2 linked regions of the Neodiprion lecontei genome follow. The protein of the gene in region 2 purifies or fractionates together with the protein of the main gene of each other region. This does not show direct contact. Links are inferred from orthologs where the notes say so. Each region holds a gene or a part of one and is shown on either strand. Other genes may lie near its edges.

Region 1 (10,717 bases), on a different chromosome or scaffold from region 2:
TTCTTAATATTGACGTACTCTCAAGGATTTTCATTGAAATTATTATTACTTTTAGCCCGAGTCGGATTAGCGCAAGAACGAATTCATGAAAAAAAAGCTTTTGGTTCGTAATCTCGAAATTGTGCATCCGGCTCGCATGTGTTATCTGAATTTCACCTCAGTTTAAAAGATGTTGTTCCGAGATATCATGCTCGCAGCGTGTATCTTAATTTCTGCAATGCCGAACGGAGTTGAACGCGTATATTCACTAGAATGTACACGCGTATGTTGAATTACGAGATTTCCGATGTAAAAATAGAATTTTTATCACAACTCGTTACGGCCCCGCTGTTAACGGTGTTCCAAACGTAGGGTAATGTTAAATGTGCCAAATCGAATAGAGAAATAATACTCGACTGATAGAAATCTATGGCAGAAACCAGTTAACCACATCCCACTATGACATTTGCGCAAGTGATATCTCTCGACTCTGCACTCAGACTTTTGGTTAATTAATGGGGTGAAAAGTGAAACACCGGTGAATTTGGTTTTCGTCGACTTTACACGCGATACTTGATAGCATTCCATTTTCACTTCCCATGCTACAAAGCGTCGGAAATTAGCCTAATACCGTGAGTAGAATAAAGAAACTAGTGTATGTTACCGTCTCCGATGCACAAGGACGCCTTTATTGCACATGATCTTGTTGTTATTTCCGTGCAGCAAGACACGTGTCGTCGAGTGAGTAACTTGAAATGTTGCTCAAGACTGGACCGTTATGTCACGAGCAGTGAGCGTGAGTGTCGTTTCACGCAATCCGAAGAACTGTTCCGACGCAACGATTTTCCCGCGCTCCTACCGGTCACCTATCGTTTCTTTAAAAGGTGGGACTGGTTCCCAGAGGGGGAAATTATCATATGGAATCACTCTACTCCTGCTTCTCCTCCGTCTCCACTTGCCTATCCTCCAATCGAATAAAGTTGGTTTCGCTGCCGAGATTCGACGTGTTCAAGAAGAAAGAATCTAGGATCCTTAATTGTTCGGCTGCGGTATACGTACTTGATTCGATCAGCGGGCAAGCAGCTTACCTGGAAAACTTGCAACGCTCGAGCTAAGCCTCCAACTTGATTCTTCAGTGAGAAGATTACCGAATTTTTATTCTCCTCACTTGCGTCCCGCTCAGTCATCGGGACCTGGACACGTATAATCGGATCAGAAGATCGTTCATTTCTGAGGATCAACGGTCGCCTTCGTCACCGATTTCATGTACTCACGTCTGGAACCTTGTGCATCGGGCTTCCCTCTTTGATGGCCCACTCTTGGCCTCTTCTGTAGAGCCACATGCCCAAAAGACCTTTTCCAGAACCGCTCATAACTGTTGCGTATTTACGTAGGGATTTTATTTGAAATCCGCAGCCGCCGCAAGGCTCAGGAAAGAAAAATTTCACGTGTTCTTAATCGAAGATTTTCGATTTTACTTGGATAAACACGTCTCGGTAAAGAACGCAACGCAGGTTCAACCTCACTCTTGGATGATGCTTCTATCTCTCTTGCGGAAGGACCGACAGTGTTCACCCTGCAGCCGATTCCGGTCTTCTTAAGCTTTTCACCCCTCCGCCGTGGCGTCCTCGCTCCCTGTCTTCGTCCAACATCGGCTCCCGATTGGTCCCTGAGCAAGGGGATGACGGGCAACTATTGGCAGAGACGGTTTTCTATAGGAGTACGGGGATTATGGGGGTGGTTCGTTCTTGCTCCTGAGGACGCTATCCTCCCTCTTTCCCGGTCCTTCCGGCAAACTTGCGGCGAGACCCTGTATAATCTCTGACGTCCTTGAATTCTGACCTCTATCCTCACCTCTTGAGAATATTCACGACGAATTACGGAAACAGTTGAAACAATGAGAAGTGTAACTTTGATTGTTGGAGAAATAATCGATTGTTAAAAATTAGCAGTATGTCGAGTTTGTATTATCGAGCAGCTTTAATTAATTTCGAACACAGGTACTAGAAAATCTGTTAAATTTAACCGAGTTCAGACAGATTATCTGTTCGTTTGCTGCAGAAGACTTCTTCATAAAATGCACGACCAAGTTACGTCAATTGGTTTACAAATGAGTTACTAATTGGATTCGTCGTGTACGGGACCATTGTTGATGCACATCTGGCATCGCTTATAAACCGAGCAGTATCATAACGCTCCAAGATAGTATTTAATTTCGCAGACACGGACCGTTACACACTCACTCTTTTGTCCGTGAAAACGTGAACTTTCGTAACTCCAGAGCAGCAGTCCGGATCGAACCAGACGAACAATTAATCATTGCACATAACATGTCCACGGACGAATAATGTAGACGACGGAACGATTATCCTCTGATCGGCAAGAAATATACCACGTATCCTTCTGCTGTCACGATGTTGCGTACGTTACGCAGACTTGACTTATGTATTCGACGGGAGTACGTCGTAATTTGTCGAGAAAAGAAAAAAAAAAAAGAAAATGCATCAGACGGTACGACACTGTGCTCTAAAATTGCGAGATTGGTCTTCTGGATGAATGTGTGTTTAGTATGAGAAAATGCTGGGGAACGAGAGTAGGAGAACGGAAAGCAAATGAGAAAAGGAGAGACAATGCTTAACAAAAGCCCGAACCCACTTCTCTACCCTAGCGAGTCCTATCGGTTCTCACCGCTTCTCCACAAAGCAGATACAGCACATTATCCAGCCAGCCCATCACTTACCACTATCAGCTACTATCCAGAGGCAGTCGAGGTGGCCGAGTTGTACCGGGTGTTTCGCTTGGTTTTGCAATAGAAAAATAACGATCTTACAGACCTACCTTGCTGCTAGAACGCACTTCATCCATGTGGTGCATCGAAAGGAACGGTGACGTAAATACATGCCGATTAAAAATGGTCAGCAGGGCACAAGCGTCATAGACGAAGTTCGCAAGCGACATCCAGTGGCCTGATTATCGTGGGATTTGAGGTGACAGACGCCTGTACCAGACTTTGGCTCACCCGTGGTCTGGGGTGTGGGCGATAGTCGCAGGCTACACTGCGTATATCTCTGGAAGTGTCTGTTTCACCTTGCTTCAATTACTTACGGCCCGCATCCATCGGGGAGCGTCTCATTCGCTGAGCGAACGGCAAGACCGGGTCCAGATGAATGGCGATGCTCGGACCGTCTGCCGGCATCGGAGATCGGTTTACTGCTTCTGCCCACTTCGTCGAGTGTTATGTTAAGGGTGGCCCAGTACCGGCCCTGTGGTTATCACTCGATGTCGGTAGCTGGAAACTCTGAGATATGACTACATGTACTTCGATAAGCATGATGAATCGGCATAAATTTTTATACGATAAAGAAAATTGCGTGAAGTCTTTTCAGGCTCGTTGTAACAGGTAGACGGAGGTCGTACGCGATTCGGTACAAGGTTTCTCTCAGGCAATATAGTACTCGTTGAGAGCGGGGAGTTTTATTCATGGAACGAAAGTGGAGAGGAGTCTCCTGGTTATTTAAAGAGAGCTTCGATTCGAACTAGCGTTTGCAAAGCCGGTGGGAGGCAAATGGTTAGGCGCAAGATGATGGGCATTCGGTGTTGGCAAACACTAGGATCCTTTCAACGACGTTCCTCGGCACGAATGATGGGACGGAGGTATGCTGAAGAAACGAAGGCGGAAGCCAGCCGAAAATTAAAAAGCGTACGAAAGGTGAGACCACTCAATTTCGAGGTGCTTCATTGGCCGAATTAGGGGAAGGACCTTGTCAAACCGCATTAGTTGTACAAGGTAGTCATCGTCCAACGCGTCAACATCGGTATCCGTATTGTAGGTACTTCTCACGATCGTTAACAACAGCGGTTTAGCCAAATTTTCTCTAGGTATAATCAATGCCACCAGTGTCCGAACTCTTGCAATTGTTTGCTTGGATTTGATGCAAGTGGTTCACGGGTGACGGGACGGCGTTTAGGCGCTGCATCACACGAGTAGAAGTTTCGTATTTCGTTCATCCCTCTGCGCCCCCATATTCGTTTTTCATCTCGAGGCTCGCTCGAGGGGTGCGCGCGTCACGCTGCGTCCAGGAATCAATAGGTTTGCGACGCGTGCGCCGCCTTCGTCCGGCCCGGTCGCCTCCGCCGTCGGCCGCCTCCACGGACCGACCTTTCAAGAATGGCTGATTCAGAGTTTGAAGAATTCCGGCATTACTTTGAGAGACTGCCTCAACATCTCAAGGCACCGATATCAAATTACACGTGAGTAATTTTATCAGTTATCTTTCCATCCGTGGTGGATTTTACTGTGGAGGAAAACACTTGACACGTTGAAGCCGCTCGCGTTGATGAAGAAGCACCCTGACATGCGACATCGTTTTCACTATCCTTGTCAACGTTAATGGGTCTATAGGACACGGTGATATTTATAAATAACGTCACAATCATCATCGATCAATGGTTTGTTGGGGCGATCCACGGTTGTCAATAAACACGGGGTGCAATTTACAGCATGAGTAAAAAATTCGTCGATGCAGCGTAAATAATGACAGGGAAAATTGTTCTAATAGAAGAAATATAACTACATCATCCTGGTCGACAAAATCTTTCTGACCATTTGGTACAACTTGTGGTTTGCCGAGCCTTAGTGAACTGCAGTTTACGAGTATGCATACATATTGTATACAAATGGATTCTCAGACATTTCTCATGGCAACTGTCAAATTTCGTATTCCTTGTATTCTGCCAGCCTTATTTCAACTCAAATTTCATCCAATAACGTCTTTTTAATGTTCCGCAACCCAGGTAGAGGGGGTGAATCAAGAGATGTGGTTTCAATGTACTTCAGGAGTTTCAATCGATACCCGAAACACTGTAATTGAAACCAAAACTATTGACATGTCATGCAGGAGAGGGGGGGGGGGGGGGGGGGGGGCAGGTAAAAATCACCAGCCGTGATATTGAAGCGGAATGTTCATGGTCGGTAAATTATATGAACCATAAACGAGCCGTCCAAGATCATTAGTATATAAAAAATATTTTAGGAGCGTATTACAAATATCGTTGAAACCCGATGTGCTCCCAGACTTAGGGTTTCAGTTTACCACAAGAGCATGGTGGTCAGAAACTTCATCTGCGCATTGGAAAAACGGAGTAAGTGTAGACGTTTCGTGCGCTCTAGTAAAAATCAATGGCTGGCTATGTGATCAAACGTTTATAAACTATTCTTCGACGAGGTCTGGTACATACATGTCCTTCCGTACGGTATTCAAACTTTGGGGTCGGCGTGGTGAATTTTTTTTGGTAATCAATAGCATCTTAGGGAAGAAAACGTACGCGCTTCGACAGCTTCTCTTTCAACAAGCACTTTCAGACCAAAGACCGATGAATCGAAGGAGAGAGCTTACTAATCTGGAATCTAGTATTAAGCACATGACGTGAGGTAGAAGAGTGAAATTTATGAATGAGCGTTACTTGTTTCGTCTTTCATCTCGCGACAGACTGGTCCACGATGTCATGGTCGACGATTCACCGACGTCCTCGCAGGGCAGCGACGGAGACGTCGGTCAGAATGGTGCAGCCGTGGACTCGGAGGACGACGAGGTTGTCGCGCTTATTCATCGTCACGGAAACCACAGCGAGCAGAGCTCAGGAGACGACGACGAAGAGCTAGACCACCACTGTTCCATCGTAGCTGACAGCGACTTTAGGTATGGCAAGTGCACTTTCCTCGCATCTCATCTTTGCGTGGGTTCTCGCTCATACGAACGGCAGGCGAGTCCGAACCCGCGTAGCTATGAGTCTGTTTATAAGATCGACTCTCGATGGGAGGTTAGAAGATTTCAATGGCATGTGAGTAGACTAGTGACAAGGACACTGCGTTGGGTGACATTAGCTTGTTCGGTGGACTGAGCAGTAGGAGGCGATCGGTTTCCGGGGCTGGAGGAGGACAAGGAAGATCGGAAGGTGGAGGCTGCGGCAGGGAGAGTGTAATCAGTGACGTAGGTGACTCCTGCTCGAGCCTCAGCTCCTGGCCCACTCCGGAACACGTGCCGTCAAATCGTAGCGGAAGCGGGTGCACCGCAAGCGGCGAACGCAGGCGGAGACGACTTCCGGAGATTCCAAAGACGAAAAAATGTAAGCATTGCCAGTTCTACGTAATTCACATCGGTTGACACGTGACGACGAGTAAACGTGCTCACGGTGTATTGTTGAAATTTGTATTTCCATCGGTTCTCCCGAGCAAAGAAAAAGTAACGAGACTCGGGAGATTATGCCGATGTTGTCGTCGTAACTTGATCTCCGTCGATCGCCATTTGCGTGAAACATTAGCAGCCTCTGATCACAAATCATGTGTGACGAAAGGAAATAGAGGCTTTTGCTGTATGAGGTTGACATAATTAACCGCAAAATAGACAAGCGTACAGAAAATAACCGCCAGAAAGAGAGCAAAAGGAAACAAAAAGAAAACTGCTGTATGTAACGAATCAGTTCTAGTCTCGATCTTCGGAGAATTCAGTCGTTACTTACCTTTATTTCTTAGATTATTCGAAATAAACTCGGTGGAAAATAATAGTCGTACTCACCGAGTGCTACAAAGACACGGTTTATGAAAAGAGAATCTTCTGCAATTCCAATCATCATGCATTACTCTTGTGTCTACAACAGGGGTGAGTTTCACAGTCGTAAAAGCTCTGTGTTTCCTTGAAAATTGATTGGATCGTGAAAACATAACGGTATACATTAAGAAAATCGTTAGTTTGAAGTGAAAAGAAATATCATGCTCGTAAATGTGGAACCTGGAGAATTTCCTTGAGTTATGAACGTATATAACTAATTGACAGCCGTGTCGATGTGCCATTCGTCTCTTCACTCGTCTCCGTCGCTCGCCGACGAGCTGGGGGCGGCAACGTCAACGGCGGGACGGCCGCATCTCGTTCTGAGGAAGTATCATCCGCGTCTCCGTCATGAGGATAGTTCCCCGGACAGCGAGAGAATGACGACGGACAGTGGCCACTCCACCGCTCATTCCCCAGACAACGGGCCCAAGAGTGTGTCTCCAATTCCGTGCAGCACCGTACAGAATACGAACTCAGTCTCGCCGAGCAGCACGCCAGGTGAACGCAGAAAAAAAAAAAGCAGAAAATAAGTAGCAGAATTAGTAAAGCTTCGATTAGTATCCAAATCTACGGTGGTTGTAAAAACAATACCTTATTCGTATTGAAAATTTGCTCCCTCCAGGTAGCGGTGGAGTTCCTTTCACGCAGCTAGAACTACTGGAGGCGACTCATCGCGGGCTGCACAAGTTTGTGCCGCGACATCACGACGAAATCGACTTAGAGATCGGGGACCCGATATACGTGCAGAAGGAGGCTGACGATCTTTGGTGCGAAGGTATGAAACTCCGGCGGCAGAATTGTCTTCGATAAGCAGAGTGAGCCTCTTCTCGTTTCAGGTGTGAACCTGAGGACTGGCAGACAAGGTATCTTCCCTTCGGCTTACGCGGTGGACATGGACTACAGCGACTTCGATCCTTCGGCTCCGAAGGTGAAACGGGAACGATACCTACTGGGATACCTCGGATCGGTGGAGACTCTTGCTCACAAAGGAACGGGCGTCGTCTGCCAAGCCGTTCGCAGAATCGTCGGTGCCCCGAGTCAGGAATCGCCCGCGTCTCAGAGTTGCATTCTAGAAGTGTCTGACCAGGGTTTGCGGATGGTCGACCGGAGCAAACCGCAGGTAATGGCAGGGGAGTATTTTTCAACGATTTTCGAAAGCCACCGTCTTCGACGGAGAAGTTTTCGTTTCACGAAAGAAGAACCACAGCTCTATAGCCCTTCGGTCCTAATTAGAACTCTCACGAACAATATGTCTCGTTTTTTTCTGTGGTCCCTGCAGAAAAATCGGGGCCCTTGCCACGACTACTTCTACTCGCTGAAGAACGTCTCGTTTTGCGCTTTTCATCCACGGGATCATCGCTATCTCGGATTCATAACGAAACACCCAACGCTCCAGAGGTTCGCCTGTCACGTATTTATTGGCCAAGAGTCGACGCGACCTGTTGCCGAAGCAGTTGGGTAAATAAAAACTATATTGATATATTGCGTATGTTGCATGGTTTCTGCTTACGTAACGAGGAACGTGGATGTCTTGCGTCTTCTGTTGCAGGAGAGCCTTTCACCGGTTCTACACGAAATTCATCGAGACTGCTTTCCCCATAGAAGACATCTACATAGAGTAATGAATTGCTGAAATATAAGTTGCTGTTGACGCTGACGATCTCATTCCCTTGTAAATACCACCCCTTAGCTGATTTAGCCTTATATATACTAAGTCTAAATCAAATGCCCAATATAAACAATTACGATAATAAAGAATCATTATTCGCATGGTAAAAAAACTGCGACGTGTTCAGCCTTTGCAGAAAATATTTCGCGCCGGTTCGCCTAGATACAAGAAAATACGTACGGTAACGTTAATTTTTCTTTCTGTAGCGGCTGTACACCCTCAGCGATTAAATTAGTTTTTCGTGGTATATCGTTTTCGCACGACGAAATGTATTATTCGAAGAGATTGAAAACTTTGAGAAAAATTGTTTTTAATATGTACTAAACGTCGCGCATTTATACATAGATATAATACAGTGACGATTGGGCGTTCGATTTTCACAATTGGTGTACTGATGGACTGTTGAGAACTCGCAAGGTGAGCCTTTCGATCAATTGCAAATTCTTACCAGAGATGATATTAATTATAATAATGAAAAAAAGCCTTAACATGACCACGGACGTGTGAAGTACGCAAGTGATGAGTTACACATACTTCAAATACCGATCCTTTCTGTGTCTTTTCAATGAGCTGCAAAATTTTTGAAACACTGACTCTGATTTCATTCTATCAATTAAGATAAAGTAACCACTGTATTACTAATACTGTATAACGTGTATAAGACAGTGAATAATGTCAATTTGGAAATGAACTGATGAGGGGAGGACACGCACCCGGGATGGCTGGTTTCTTTGAAATTTGAACCGGTCAAATCAGATTAAATCTCGCTAGATCCGTATTTTTTTCCGAACAATGCGCGGTAGTTGCAAAAAAAATCATGTGGATCTAATCTGATCTAATGACAAAAAATCGTTCACTAGCTTTTTGACAGCTGTGAATACTAGTTACAGTACCTACATTCCAAATGAATTACTTTCTTCCGACAGAAGACTTGCATTTCATGAAATGAATATTGTGAAAAAACATGTTACAACAGCAATCTTTGTCAAACTGAATACAAGAATGAAATAAAGTAAATACCCTGCAATAATCTTGGGGAAATTGGGTTTTAGCGAAATTGTCTGGATTCTGGATACGTTGTAGATCTCCGTGAGCACGACCCTCTGCTGTGAATAGTTCGGACGCTAAAAACCACCGTTGACGTCCCATGGAGACTTTTTTTCAGACTGCCAATATCTACAACTTATCAAAAATCCAGACGATTTCAATCAAAAACCGAATTACCATAAGATTATTGCGGGGTTCTTTCTTTATGTGACAACAACAAATGTTACCTACGCTTTATAAAATCATTTGTAACTTCGTCCTGATCCCATTTTCAGCAACTTTCAAAAATATTCGGATTCTCGTGCATAAACTGCAAACTTTCAGATAAACATGGTAAATTTCAAATCAAAGTTGATAACGATAAAATAATAACGAATATCTATGGAAAAGAGCGTTCCAGAGGATTTACTCTAATTGTAAAACAGATTTTACGGTCAGGAAAATTAGTTTCTTCTCAATTGATAATCCCTTGGGCCACACTTTTTCCCCGTGATAAGATACAATAAGAATGCGAGCATAAAAATTAATTTGTTCAAAATTGAAAGGTTGATAAACGTATTTCTGATAACGAGTAAAAGCTAGCGGGCTGGTACCTACTTGCAGAATTTTAGCATATCAGCTCGTACAAACATTAAGATATCGAAATTACAGGAAAGTTGAAATTTCTTCCACGTATCACTTACTAATAATTGGTGGAATGGGCAATTATACGCATATCTTTATGAAGGAGAACAGTATAAATTTTTAGACTGACGAAAAGGGATGCCATCTAAGTATGTTTGGTATACGTGATTTTTCGGCAACCAGTGTCCATTGGTCAGGAAAAAAGTGCGGGTCTATAAATGAAATTCAGTTTTATTTCACCAGTTCAAATTTCAATAAAATTGGTCATCCTGGGTGCGTGTCATTTTCTTGTGAGTGCGTTTAACTTATAATTATCGATATTGTCACGCGATTTATTGCAGGGAAACGGGAATGGAACAAATCAAATGGTTCTTTTACCGGCTTGTACAAGATTGAAATTACAAGTAGAACAAATGACATAATAAATGGATGATAAAATTTGATTAGCTTGTTATGCGGAAGAAAAAAAATGTGCCCAAACGTATACATTGTCATTAATACAACAACTAGTATAAACAACAGTTTGGAGTGGCAATGTAATAATCATTGTATACAGTCACCGTATATTATAATTATCTAATAACGTAAGAGATAAAAGTATACATATGAGGGAATAAAATTATTCAACAAGTCTGAGGTTCGTTTTTGATCCAGATTGCAGGTGCTGGAAATACAATTAGATTTAGCTTCGCGTTTTTGCATAATATTAGCGGAAAATACTTACTTACCTGAGTGACTCGATATTTGTGGATTTATTGGAAATTTCCAACATCACTATTGAAAAACAATA
Region 2 (11,143 bases):
AGCCAGAGCGAGGAAAAAAGTACGTTAACCACACCAAGTACCTACTTTTTTGCCAAGAAATTACAGCGGAACGACCCGACCCGAACGACGGCTACTATATGTCTGTTTCAATAATGAATAAAACATTAAACAGTCGGGAAACTGACTTCCGTCGTAGCGCAAACGGAGAACGGACAAGAATGGGTATGAGAAGCAGCGGTGTAAAATAAAAGGGATAGGCGATCCAAGTGGCGTTGCTGCGCTGTGCTCGTCTCGACCTGTTTCACGGAAAATCCACCAGATGTCTCATGGGCATAAACTTCAAAAGACGGTTAACAAAACTATATTACGAGTAACCGGATCCTATCAAAGAATTAAGGCCAGCTCTGGGCAATTTTGCCGTTATATCCGGGGAGGCCAAGTGCTAGTCGGTAATGTTAGCAATTTGAAAGTGTTTAATGGTAAAAAAAACAAACATGTCGGCAAGCATTCCGTCAGGAGCGTTGAGTTACGGGGTCGCTGAAGCCCAAACCGAAAGACACAGATCCGGTGTCCTGGAGCCGGTCCTCTCTGTTGCACGATCGAAAGACTGGAGAACAACCGCTAGGCGGAAAATCATAATAAGGCAACTTGGATGAGCCCTGTAAGCCTGTGTGTTTCCTCCACCACGTCACCGATTAGAGTGAGAGGTCCGACTCCAGCTATTGCTTTCTGTTTCTAATTACGACCTCAACTCGTGCACAGAGCCCTAGGTATCATTCTGTCGCAAGTTCACGCAATGGCCATCACCCGAGAGAGTGTATGACTCTACCGGTAGACCACTATCTGCCAGTTCCCGCAGTTGCAAGAAGACTTTCATATGTGCGCTTATGAAAGAGGCCTGCTGCAGATTTGTGGCAGATAACACGTACTTACGCTTTGCCGCAAGAAAAAAAAAAGTTGTCGCTTCGGTAACCGAGCTCATTGATACCGTACATGTTCCGAATGGGGTAGAATCAGTAACTGTTTGATAACGTCAATTTTGTAGCTGTTTGCCACGACGCTATTTCAATGTGTGTTCGAAGCATAGACTTATAGACTGAGCGCTCCTACAAGAGGTACTGAAGCTTACATATAAAGGACAGAGATATATTGGGAGGCTGCTCTCTCTTTTCAATCAGTTTCACACCGGGAGACAAGGGCGTAGTGAAAGTGGACAACTATAGATATAGGCGCATAATTTCGCCTCATTCTCCCTCTACCGCCTCGATCCCCGCCACAAATATCATCAGAGAGAGCAAGGAGTACTACTCCCGGCATATTTCTGTCCTTTAAATGTTTGCTTCAAGCGGCTCATATGCGCGCTCAGTCTATCTTTTATAAGTCTATAGATTATAGTTTTGTGCACTTGTGAGATAGTTACAAGAAAAAAACCGTTGAATCGCCACCTATGTGTGAGAATTCGAAGTATATCAGTAAGCAGACCGGTGCATAACGTCGTTCGACCATTGCTATGTCGTAAGTATCTACAATCTGAATGGCTGACCGTAGAAACGCTTAAGTATGAAGTTAAAATTTGGCTAGATTCTACTAACAATAAAACGGATTCTACGAAAGCGTTATCAGTTGGCGTTGGAAATCATAGTACGGGTTCCCTATAATCCCTATTATATCCTTCACCTCCCTAACGCAGCGGTTACGGTTACGGTAACGGACATTGTAAACTGTCCTTTATTGACGCACACCCCGCACACCACTAACAGTGAAATGGACGGGCGAGAAGAGACAAGGGCAAAGAGATATCAGCAGCGATTGGCTGGATTTTCACGGGCAGCAAAATGCTACGGTAGTATTTTATTGCAGAGTTATTGACCACTAGGAATGGCAATAAAGCAGGAAAGCTCTACCTGGAGTCTCTACAAAACGGACTCTAGCGCTACCTGGTGCGCGCTAAATACGAATTACCTATTTTCTTGGCATTTGTATTGGCCAAGAACTAGGCTGCAAAATACTGTGGAAGTATTTTGCTGCCCATGAAAATCTAGACATTCTCTTTCTTTTCTCATGCGCGTTTCGGGTTTTTCGGCACCTCGCCCATTCTATCTTAATATTATTTCTATGGTCTCTGATTATAGTTCGGTGGCTAGTTCACGGGTCCGGCGCAGAAACTGGAGTCGTGCTAGTCGGAATTTTAGATCGACTTGACAGCTTTCGCTCGTTCCGATGGTTCCGATCAGTAGGCGATAATAAGTCAAGTTCTACTTGAACAAGAGAGGCTATAACCTTTAACGTGTTAATATTTTAAATACCAACGGTGTTAGAGGGAAGTTAATTGTGAGTTGGTGAACAATCGTAAATAATACCTAGTAATTCGCGTTTGTTTTAATACATTTCGCTCTTCGCCATTTTGGCCTGTCATCAGCTTGCGATAAATCCACTCGGTGAACAATTTCTTGCCAGTTTATTTACCATCTTGTGAAAGCCGCACGTTATTTTTCACTTGTTCCTTGAATCTTTGTGACGTTTAACTCGCTTCAAGGATAAATCTGTCCCTTGAAATCCATAAGATTGATAGAGATGTCTTTTTACAGCAGTGGGATGGTACATTGAAGACCGTCCACGTTAGGGATTCCTGCATGGACCGTTCTCAAGAGTGAGTATATTTTTCCCTTTTTACTCCAAGCTTCATTTTCTTTACACTAATTTAGCTAAAAATAATTCATTCCTCGTCACGAACCACGCCTTCCAAGACGAACAGGTGCAACCGGAAGTTAATTCTCTAATCCATTTCCTCCGGCTCCGAGGTACCGTGACGAAAAATCACTGACCATGACCATTGGATCACGAATTATTCGTTCGCACTCTAATTTACAGTATAGAAATTGTCAGATTAATTAGATATTTGTCCGCTGAGCTTTCGTGAGAAAAAAAACCATGTGTTTATTTTTTTCTATCCCGTCCATTGTTTTTGTTTTCAACGTGAATATACACGCGAGATAGGTGGACCACGATGATGCAGTTTCGGAATGTCGGACTTGACGAAAAGATATTTAAAAAAACATTTTCCCCGTTATCATTCTTATGCGGTATTCAGGTAACGGGGGGATTGTATTTTATTTCATTCGACACACGATCAGAACCCTACCTAACGAATATCCATAGCGTCGTATAAGGTCGCCGCCCTGCTGTTTTACGCTACAACACCATTTGAGGTGTGAGTATAACGTTATTAAGCACCTGCCTAGGTTATTCAATTTCTCTAACACCTCGTGGGCGAGTTCGTTTATCTGACAAGCGATTACGTCGACGTCGGCACATCGGATTTAATTATCTTTCCATTACAATCTACGGATATTAAGATTGTATTACACTTCTTCTTGACTTACTAAAATTTGTATCAAATTTATCGTTCGTAACGAGAAATGTTGAGATATTCAGTGATGTGGGTAAAAAAATTAATCCATTCAAAGTTCCGCACTACTTCCTGCACGAACATGGTAGCTCGCATTGTGTCTAGTGTTCGGTATATTTTTCTCATTATCGAATTTCACGACGATAGATTGACGTGAAGCTGCCTGATGCTCTGCGGAAAATGTGAACATATATTTCACGTCAGTTGCGTAAAACTAAGAAACGGACTCAAAAAAACTATAAACCTTCGGTATTGTGCTACTTTGGCTGATTTTTTCAAGTAATTTTAACGAATAGGTATCTCTACTTCCGCCATTGCTTTCAACCATCAAATACGTGAAAAAATATTTGCCCTCTGTATTTCTTTCCGATTTATTAGAACATCTTGTACAACAAATACAGAAAAGTGGTATATATTTTTTTTTGCAAATTTTGCGGGTCACTTCTACATTGTTTTTTTCTTTTTTTGTTTTGTTTTGTAAAAATAAAAAAGAAACCAAGTTGAAATTCACACCGACGTCATTCCGCAAAAACGTTAATAATCGCCGAGGGAATAATTTCATTCACGAAAGGAAGCTGCGTAAGTTGGCCAAGATATATCATGTCGTCATGCTATGAATCATCGCTCACTCGGCAGGAGCAGGTCTGCAGTTGTCGTTCACTGGTTACATGGGCAATGACTGTACGCACAGCGTGAACACATAGCTGTATAGGTGGAAACTTATAGGAATAAAAATTTACTTTGCAATGTAAAAACCACCAAAATGAAAATTCAAGTTCAAATAATTACAAGCAACAATATCCCTGCCTGAAAAAATATTTAAATAAAAATCTTTACCGCCAAGTACGCAACTTTTTTGAAAAATTAACAAAATCAATATCAAAAGTCGAGAATTCGGGACAAAATGAAAAATTCCGAGGATAGCTGTTGAATGCGAAGTTGAACTTGAATCTGATCTCCCTAAAATATCAGCATCAGACGCAACAATTTTACGAAGATCTTCTACGGACCTCCATATTCTCAATTGTACATCTTGTCTAACCATACAAAATGAATAGAGACATAGAGAAAGTCTAGAAAAATAAATTGACGAACAAAGAAAATTCTATCCGTGGGCGACAGATAAATGAGAACAAATCCGAATGCACGGGGAGAGAAAAAAATTAGATTCCACTTAAGACTGCAAAAAAAAAAGACCGCGTCAAATTATATATTATTATACCTGCTACAACTGTATTTTTTACTATAAATGTAGGAGATTTTACCCTGTACACAATGGTTTTCACTGTTTTTAGAGTGAATTCTGCACGTTACGAAGTATATTTTACAAAAAAAACCTGATGTCACCCCCTTTTCCAGCAGTTCTGTGTAATATCTGCTCTTATATTCTCTCCGTGTATGCCAGCATAAAACGGATATGCCCTGATCTGATTCGCGTAAGCTAATTTTTACTCGTCATTTTCGCGCATCAAAATATGGAGACGTTTGTGATTTCAGCACAATTTTCTACATTATTATGTGCAAATTTTTTTGAGACAGTAATCGAGTAATTTGTTATGCGATGTTCCGCGGACCTGTATTTGATAGATATCACACTGAATTAGAAAATTCTTTTTCTTTAAACTCTTCCATGGTATAAGGCGACTTGCTTTCAATGAAAGTAAAATACGTTGGAGCATTTATTTAAAAACCGCATTATCAATGAAACATGATTGTCGCGTTAAAAAAACACGAAACTCTTCTCTCTACCTTGACCGTGGTTATTTATCGTAAATTGGTCGGCGCAGGCGTGGAAACACCCCCAATTTCGAGGACGGAGGTACATACACACATACGTGCTATGCTTAAGGGTAGAACACGCAGAAGCGCCACTCAGTGGTAAAGAAAACGCGACGAGGAACGGGGCTGCTCTCTTCGTCTCATATATAACGGACATAAATTTATTCTCGCATATTTTTGTACTTTCGTGTGTTCGGGTGATGAATTGAAATTTTTTTACAAATAGAACAAAAGGACCGATTGCCATTTTAAGTGCTCTCGTACGTTATAACATATCGAGTGTGTGACAACTGTGACAATATCCCTCGCGAATGTCCATAGAATAAGAAAGAAAAGAGAAAAACAGAATGAAATATAAATTGATTTAATTGAATATTTAGTACGTTTCGTATATAATAAGCGATTAGGTAGGTTGAAAGAATAAGAAAAAAAAATAGATACAAATTCTTTGATTACTGATGGGTAGAACAGATATGTCAAAAACGCTGAACGCTTATAGAATGTGAGTAACACGTTTATTGGAAATATGTTTTGTATTTCTCATACTCTTCGTTTATCGTAATTTCGATTGATTGAATTTTTCCCCACTCACCTGCAGTGTAATATGATATATTTACATACATTTTGTGTGTAGATATCCATCATTACTCAATCTGTGAACAAATACTTTGGATTTTTACATGCGTGCATCATTATTCGGCATAAATACTCTATTAACAGACCTTCTTTTTGTTTTTCTGCTCTTGGACATAATAGGATGTTATTAATGATGAACTCCGAAATGGAGAACGTGTAAATTTATCTGCAAGATACACGTTGATTAAACTCATTGCAATCTCAAATAAATATGTCATCTCATCATTCGAGGTTCACGCAACTGTCTTCGCGAACTTTAAGTAATTCGACAGTTTGCGGATCCAGTACATGTGATATATATCTCACACCACATTTATAAACGAAAATAACACGATGTACAACAAACGTGTACGGTAGCGAATTACATTACAGACAGATTTCGTTGGAATAGACATTTCGCCGCATGTGTCCTTGTGCAAGAACGTTTTCAAGCTAGATGGCTTATACATATTGTGGTTTTGTATTAAACTACTTTATCACGTGTCTAGGGCGTACAGAAGCGATGTTTAAGTAATCAAGTCATTTTCCGTCTCTTCCTATCGCGAATAAATCTCATCACTCTGTACACACAATCAACTCCTAATGAATTATGAAAAACAGACAACGATAGGGTTGATTTTCTCATGATCTCCCCGCAAGACTTCTACATTATGTGACCTGTATTGGTACCTTTGTAAAAAAAAATAAAAAAATAAAAAAAACTTATCAACGTGTAACAGGCCCATAAAATTTCGCCGATTTACAAGCCTTTACACACACTTTACTGTAGTTTGTCTCCTTTCACATGTTACTATCCGTACATTTGCTTGCGCGTATGCACGATATGTACGCTGTCGCATTGAATCGAGGCGTGATACGCGTGCGCGAGATTATTGAGCTTTAACTTATTAAACTTCGGTTCACGCGCGTCCCTGACATGGGGTAAGTTCGTATCCCGATTCGTTTTCAGATATAATTGATTCCCCTGGGCGTTTTGGCTCGTTTTAACAATAAAAATAATAATGAAAAATAAAAAAAAAAACCATACATTTGTAGCAGCCCGTATCCTCGCAGCTAGCGTAATATCCACCGAGATTTTTAGGGGCTCATCCACCGCAGTCGTTGTTAGCTCTTATTATTGATTTCAAGTCCCAGTTGGTCTTTACTGCAGACTCTCGGTGTCACGTAGCTACCGGCTTCTTCGCCGTGAAAATAATCCCCTGAATTAGAGTATAACGCTGGATAAAGTTTCCGTACGTCCTCCTCTTCTTTCGTCGTTGTGCAGGTGCTATTGTCAGTTCATTCCGGTTCTTGGACTAAATACGTACCGTCTCGAGGTGCTCATGACCACTCTTGTATAGAGGATTGGTCACAGGGTGAAGAACACGTTTTTATTAACCCCTCGCGCAGTCCTTGGTTATCAAGTAATTGGAGATAAAAAAATTTCCCCTCAAATTTAATTATCTCGTTAAACTTGTTGACTCGCTGAAGTTCTCTAGTTAAACCTTGGTGAAATTTGTTTCTTTGAAAAATTGTAAATAATTATAGTATTTTGTTTTACAATAAGTATAAACGTTCTTCTGAAGAAAGATATTCAAGAATCACCTTATATAATTCTACTGAGTTGTGAAAAAGTTTCGGCTGAAATATAATTTTTTAAGAAGAGGTGATATGTAAATATTTTTTTTCTTCTTTTTTTTATAATGCACAAATTACAAAACGAACGAATAAAATTTGATCTTGTCGTCAGAGATTTCTCAAAATTTTTGATACTGATGCTTTACTAATTTCTTCCTTTCTCGTATATGTATCTAAACTATCGACGAATCGTAGCGAATTGATATTCTTCACAGTCATTCAGAGAATTGCAATGTACAATTTCCACCGGAACCTAAGACACCATTCACTCTTGGAATAATATCATATGCTTTTTTCTTGTCTTGAAATATTTTTAAATTATCTGTTCTAAATATTATTGTATTTTTAAAGCTATCATTGGCGAAATTTTGAGCCTCCACATTTTATTTTTCCATCTATAACCATGAAACTTCAAAAAGAAATAGAGTTTGAAAGTCTTGAGCCACTTTTTATTTAGATCAAACGTGAAGTAATTCTTTTTTTTTCATCGATCAGCGATAATTAATGATCGTTTTAGAACATTGGTTCACTGAATTTATACCGCTTGTTTTAATTTCAGTAAGAAAATCGAACATATTGGCAGAATGACAGCCATGACACAGGAGGAGATAGTAGCCGGCGCTCGGACGGTGGCCCAGGGACTGGAGGCTCTTCGCTGTGAACACGGGGGTCTCCTGCAGGGTCTACAGTCTCAGGAGGCACCAGCGGCGAGGGAAAAGGCCAGTCTAATATCCAGGAATATTGAAATGATCGAATTGGGTCTTGGAGAAGCACAAGTCATGATGGCCTTGGCTAGTCACTTACAAATGGTCGAAGCTGAGAAGCAGAAACTCAGAACGCAAGTTAGACGATTGTGTCAGGAAAATGCGTGGCTCAGAGACGAGCTTGCAGGAACTCAACAGAAGTTGCAGGGCAGTGAACAAGCGGTATGCAGCCTTCCGTTTTGTTACTTAAAAATTATTTTCACCTTTCGTTTATTTATCTAGTAATACCGATAACTAGTAATATGTGTTTATTGAAAATGTGTAATAAATAATTGAGTTGTTGGTAATTGGATGAATGAAAAACGAGTGAAATTCATGGATTTATGTGTTTCTGGTTTTGCTTTATGAAGGTACATGAAAAGTGACCAAGAAAGTTCCCAAGATTTTCCATTTTACGTACAGCATTGAAATCTATATAGCTTACAGATTCATTTTCAAAGTTATTCTGGACTTGCCAAATAGTAATTTAGGTTTCAACGTTGTATAAAGTTGACGTTAATAATTTAAAACTCATTCTGAAGTAGAGTTTATTATAAAACATCACTATTTGATTCTCTAAAGTGCAACATAACTTTTCGTTTTAGGTTGCACAACTAGAAGTAGAGAAGAGGCAGCTGAACTTTATGGCCAGCATAAGACAATTTGATCCTGATCCACCAGCTGAGGATGAAAATACAAAGGATAGGCCGAAAGATGATCCAGTTGTTGATCTGTTCCCGGATGATGATAACGATGATCGAAGTAAGTTATTTTGCTCTTTGTTATTCACAATTCACTTAAAAGAACTTCGAATCATCTGATAATTTGCGTTAATCAACAAGTTGTGAAATGATTCTTGCAAGCCTTACAAAAGTTTTTTCGTAGATTGCCCATTGATTTCATACATCTATCATTCAGACTTTCATTATGACCGTACGGACTGAAATCAGTGTTTTAAATTTGACATTGTCTTGTTTTTCAGCCATGACACCAACTCCACCATCTCAGTTCGCTCAACAAGTGAATGCTGGATACGAAATACCAGCACGTCTCCGTACTCTACATAATCTTGTTATCCAATATGCGAGTCAAGGGCGTTACGAAGTTGCAGTACCACTGTGCAAGCAGGCGTTAGAAGACCTTGAAAAAACATCTGGTCATGATCACCCCGATGTTGCGACGATGCTAAATATTTTAGCCCTAGTTTACAGAGATCAAAACAAGTTCAAAGAGGCAGCAAATCTGCTTAATGATGCTTTAGCCATCAGAGAAAAAACTTTGGGTGAAAATCACCCAGCTGTTGCTGCAACGTTAAATAACTTGGCTGTTTTATATGGTAAACGTGGAAAATATAAGGAAGCTGAGCCGTTATGCAAGCGTGCATTGGAGATTCGGGAAAAGGTACTTGGACGTGAGCATCCAGATGTTGCAAAACAGTTGAATAATTTGGCGCTGTTGTGTCAAAACCAGGGAAAATATGAGGAGGTATGTTATTTTCATTGCATTGCCAATTTGGTGTCCAAATATCTTGTAATTTCTGAAGTTTTTGGAAATGGATTTCAAAGTATTAAGTTTTCAACCCTCGAAACTTCGCGAATAAAATTTAGTGGTAGTGAATATATAAATATTATTTATTTTTACGATTTTATCATACTTAATTTTGTATGTAATTCCTTGCAAGATTTGCAAAGTAACAGTTTATTTCTTATCTGCTTTCAGGTTGAACGCTACTATCAACGTGCTTTAGTAATTTACGAATCAAAGTTAGGGCCAGACGATCCAAACGTTGCAAAGACAAAAAATAATCTTGCCTCTTGTTACCTCAAACAAGGAAAATATAAGGAGGCGGAGGTTCTCTACAAACAGGTCCTAACAAGAGCTCATGAACGTGAATTTGGGGCAATTGAAGGTGACAACAAACCAATATGGCAGGTGTGTTGAAAGGGGTACATATGCGCTTATTAAAATGAATTCCAATCCTTTTTCACGTACAGAAATGATTATTTCATATGTGTTAAGTTTTAAAAAATATAGGTGTTCTTTGAATAAGTTATAACTTACAGTAATCTGATTTCATAAATAAAACCGTTATCTTATATTCAGGCCGGCAACCAACTAAATTCAATCCCAGTATCTTCTAAGAGTACTTCCGGGCCTCTGATCACTATATTATTTCTCTTGTCTTGCCTGCCTTTTGCTTCTTGTTTCCTTCTCAGCTCCTTGATCATTTCTTCGAGCTCTTGACCGATTTATCACCTGCGCACTCTCACCTGCTATCTCTTTTGTTTTGCTGGTACTTCGAGTATCATGCTTATGCTTCGATCTAGTCTCCACTTCTGTTTTAAATGTTGGTTATTTTGAAGTCAGCTTTCCGTTATGGTTTTGTCTTTTTGCCTCTTTTCATCAATGTGGTTGGGAAAACGTTTACTTGCACCCTGCTCACACGTCTTATGCGTGTATCTATGCGCACTGTGGTATTCACTTCCTGGATTCACTAAGTTTTATAAAGGTTTTGATGCGTTGTACGCTATGTCATTATCACTCAGTGTCCATGCCAGAAATCCTTGAGAAAAAATATATGTCATAAGAAATTGAAACATGACTAGTAGTAAAAATGATGGTATCGTTTAATTGGACAGCAGTCTTAGTTGACAGGAGTAAGGTGAGAAAAAAGAAAAACATATAACTGAAGAAAAGTCCAGCCACACCGAAAAAGTCGATTAAGAGTGAGATCCAATATGAGAGATAGATTACAAGGACTACAGTTGGTAAAGTACAGAAATAACCTAGGAACGAGGGTCCTTAGTCAACTTGAAATTTTTAATATTATGCTGAAAACATTGGGCTCAACGTTTGATGTACTCAAACTCGCAGTAAATCCAATCGTCTTTGGTGCAAACTTATATTCCACTCAACATCAATTCTACTGACATAGGGTGCAATTAAACTGGTCAGATAAATTGTATTACACTTGTGAATGTAGAGTGATCAGAGAAGG

What was found. Proteins that work in one complex are often made in the same cells at the same time.
Region 1: the proteins of kinesin light chain (region 2) and JNK-interacting protein 1 purify together in Drosophila melanogaster (affinity purification with western blotting, with the first as the bait; 3 studies listed by BioGRID). This does not show direct contact. The link is inferred for Neodiprion lecontei from reciprocal best matches to the Drosophila melanogaster genes Klc and Aplip1.

What each region holds. Positions count from the first base shown.
Region 1 is NC_060261.1:43,604,387-43,615,103, reverse strand, and holds the start of JNK-interacting protein 1, read left to right. Parts: upstream 1-4,082; 5' UTR 4,083-4,147; coding exon 4,148-4,230; intron 4,231-5,468; coding exon 5,469-5,678; intron 5,679-5,863; coding exon 5,864-6,105; intron 6,106-6,812; coding exon 6,813-7,085; intron 7,086-7,209; coding exon 7,210-7,362; intron 7,363-7,423; coding exon 7,424-7,707; intron 7,708-7,866; coding exon 7,867-8,045; intron 8,046-8,136; coding exon 8,137-8,209; 3' UTR 8,210-10,717. Other genes in the region: tryptophan 5-hydroxylase 1, read right to left, coding at 1,068-1,172, 1,254-1,352. UniProt on the Drosophila melanogaster protein: The JNK-interacting protein (JIP) group of scaffold proteins selectively mediates JNK signaling by aggregating specific components of the MAPK cascade to form a functional JNK signaling module.
Region 2 is NC_060263.1:21,590,894-21,602,036, forward strand, and holds the start of kinesin light chain, read left to right. Parts: upstream 1-5,255; 5' UTR 5,256-5,607; coding exon 5,608-5,651; intron 5,652-6,999; exon of another isoform or gene 7,000-7,017; intron 7,018-7,961; coding exon 7,962-8,328; intron 8,329-8,750; coding exon 8,751-8,907; intron 8,908-9,127; coding exon 9,128-9,630; intron 9,631-9,864; coding exon 9,865-10,077; intron 10,078-11,143. UniProt on the Drosophila melanogaster protein: Kinesin is a microtubule-associated force-producing protein that may play a role in organelle transport. The light chain may function in coupling of cargo to the heavy chain or in the modulation of its ATPase activity.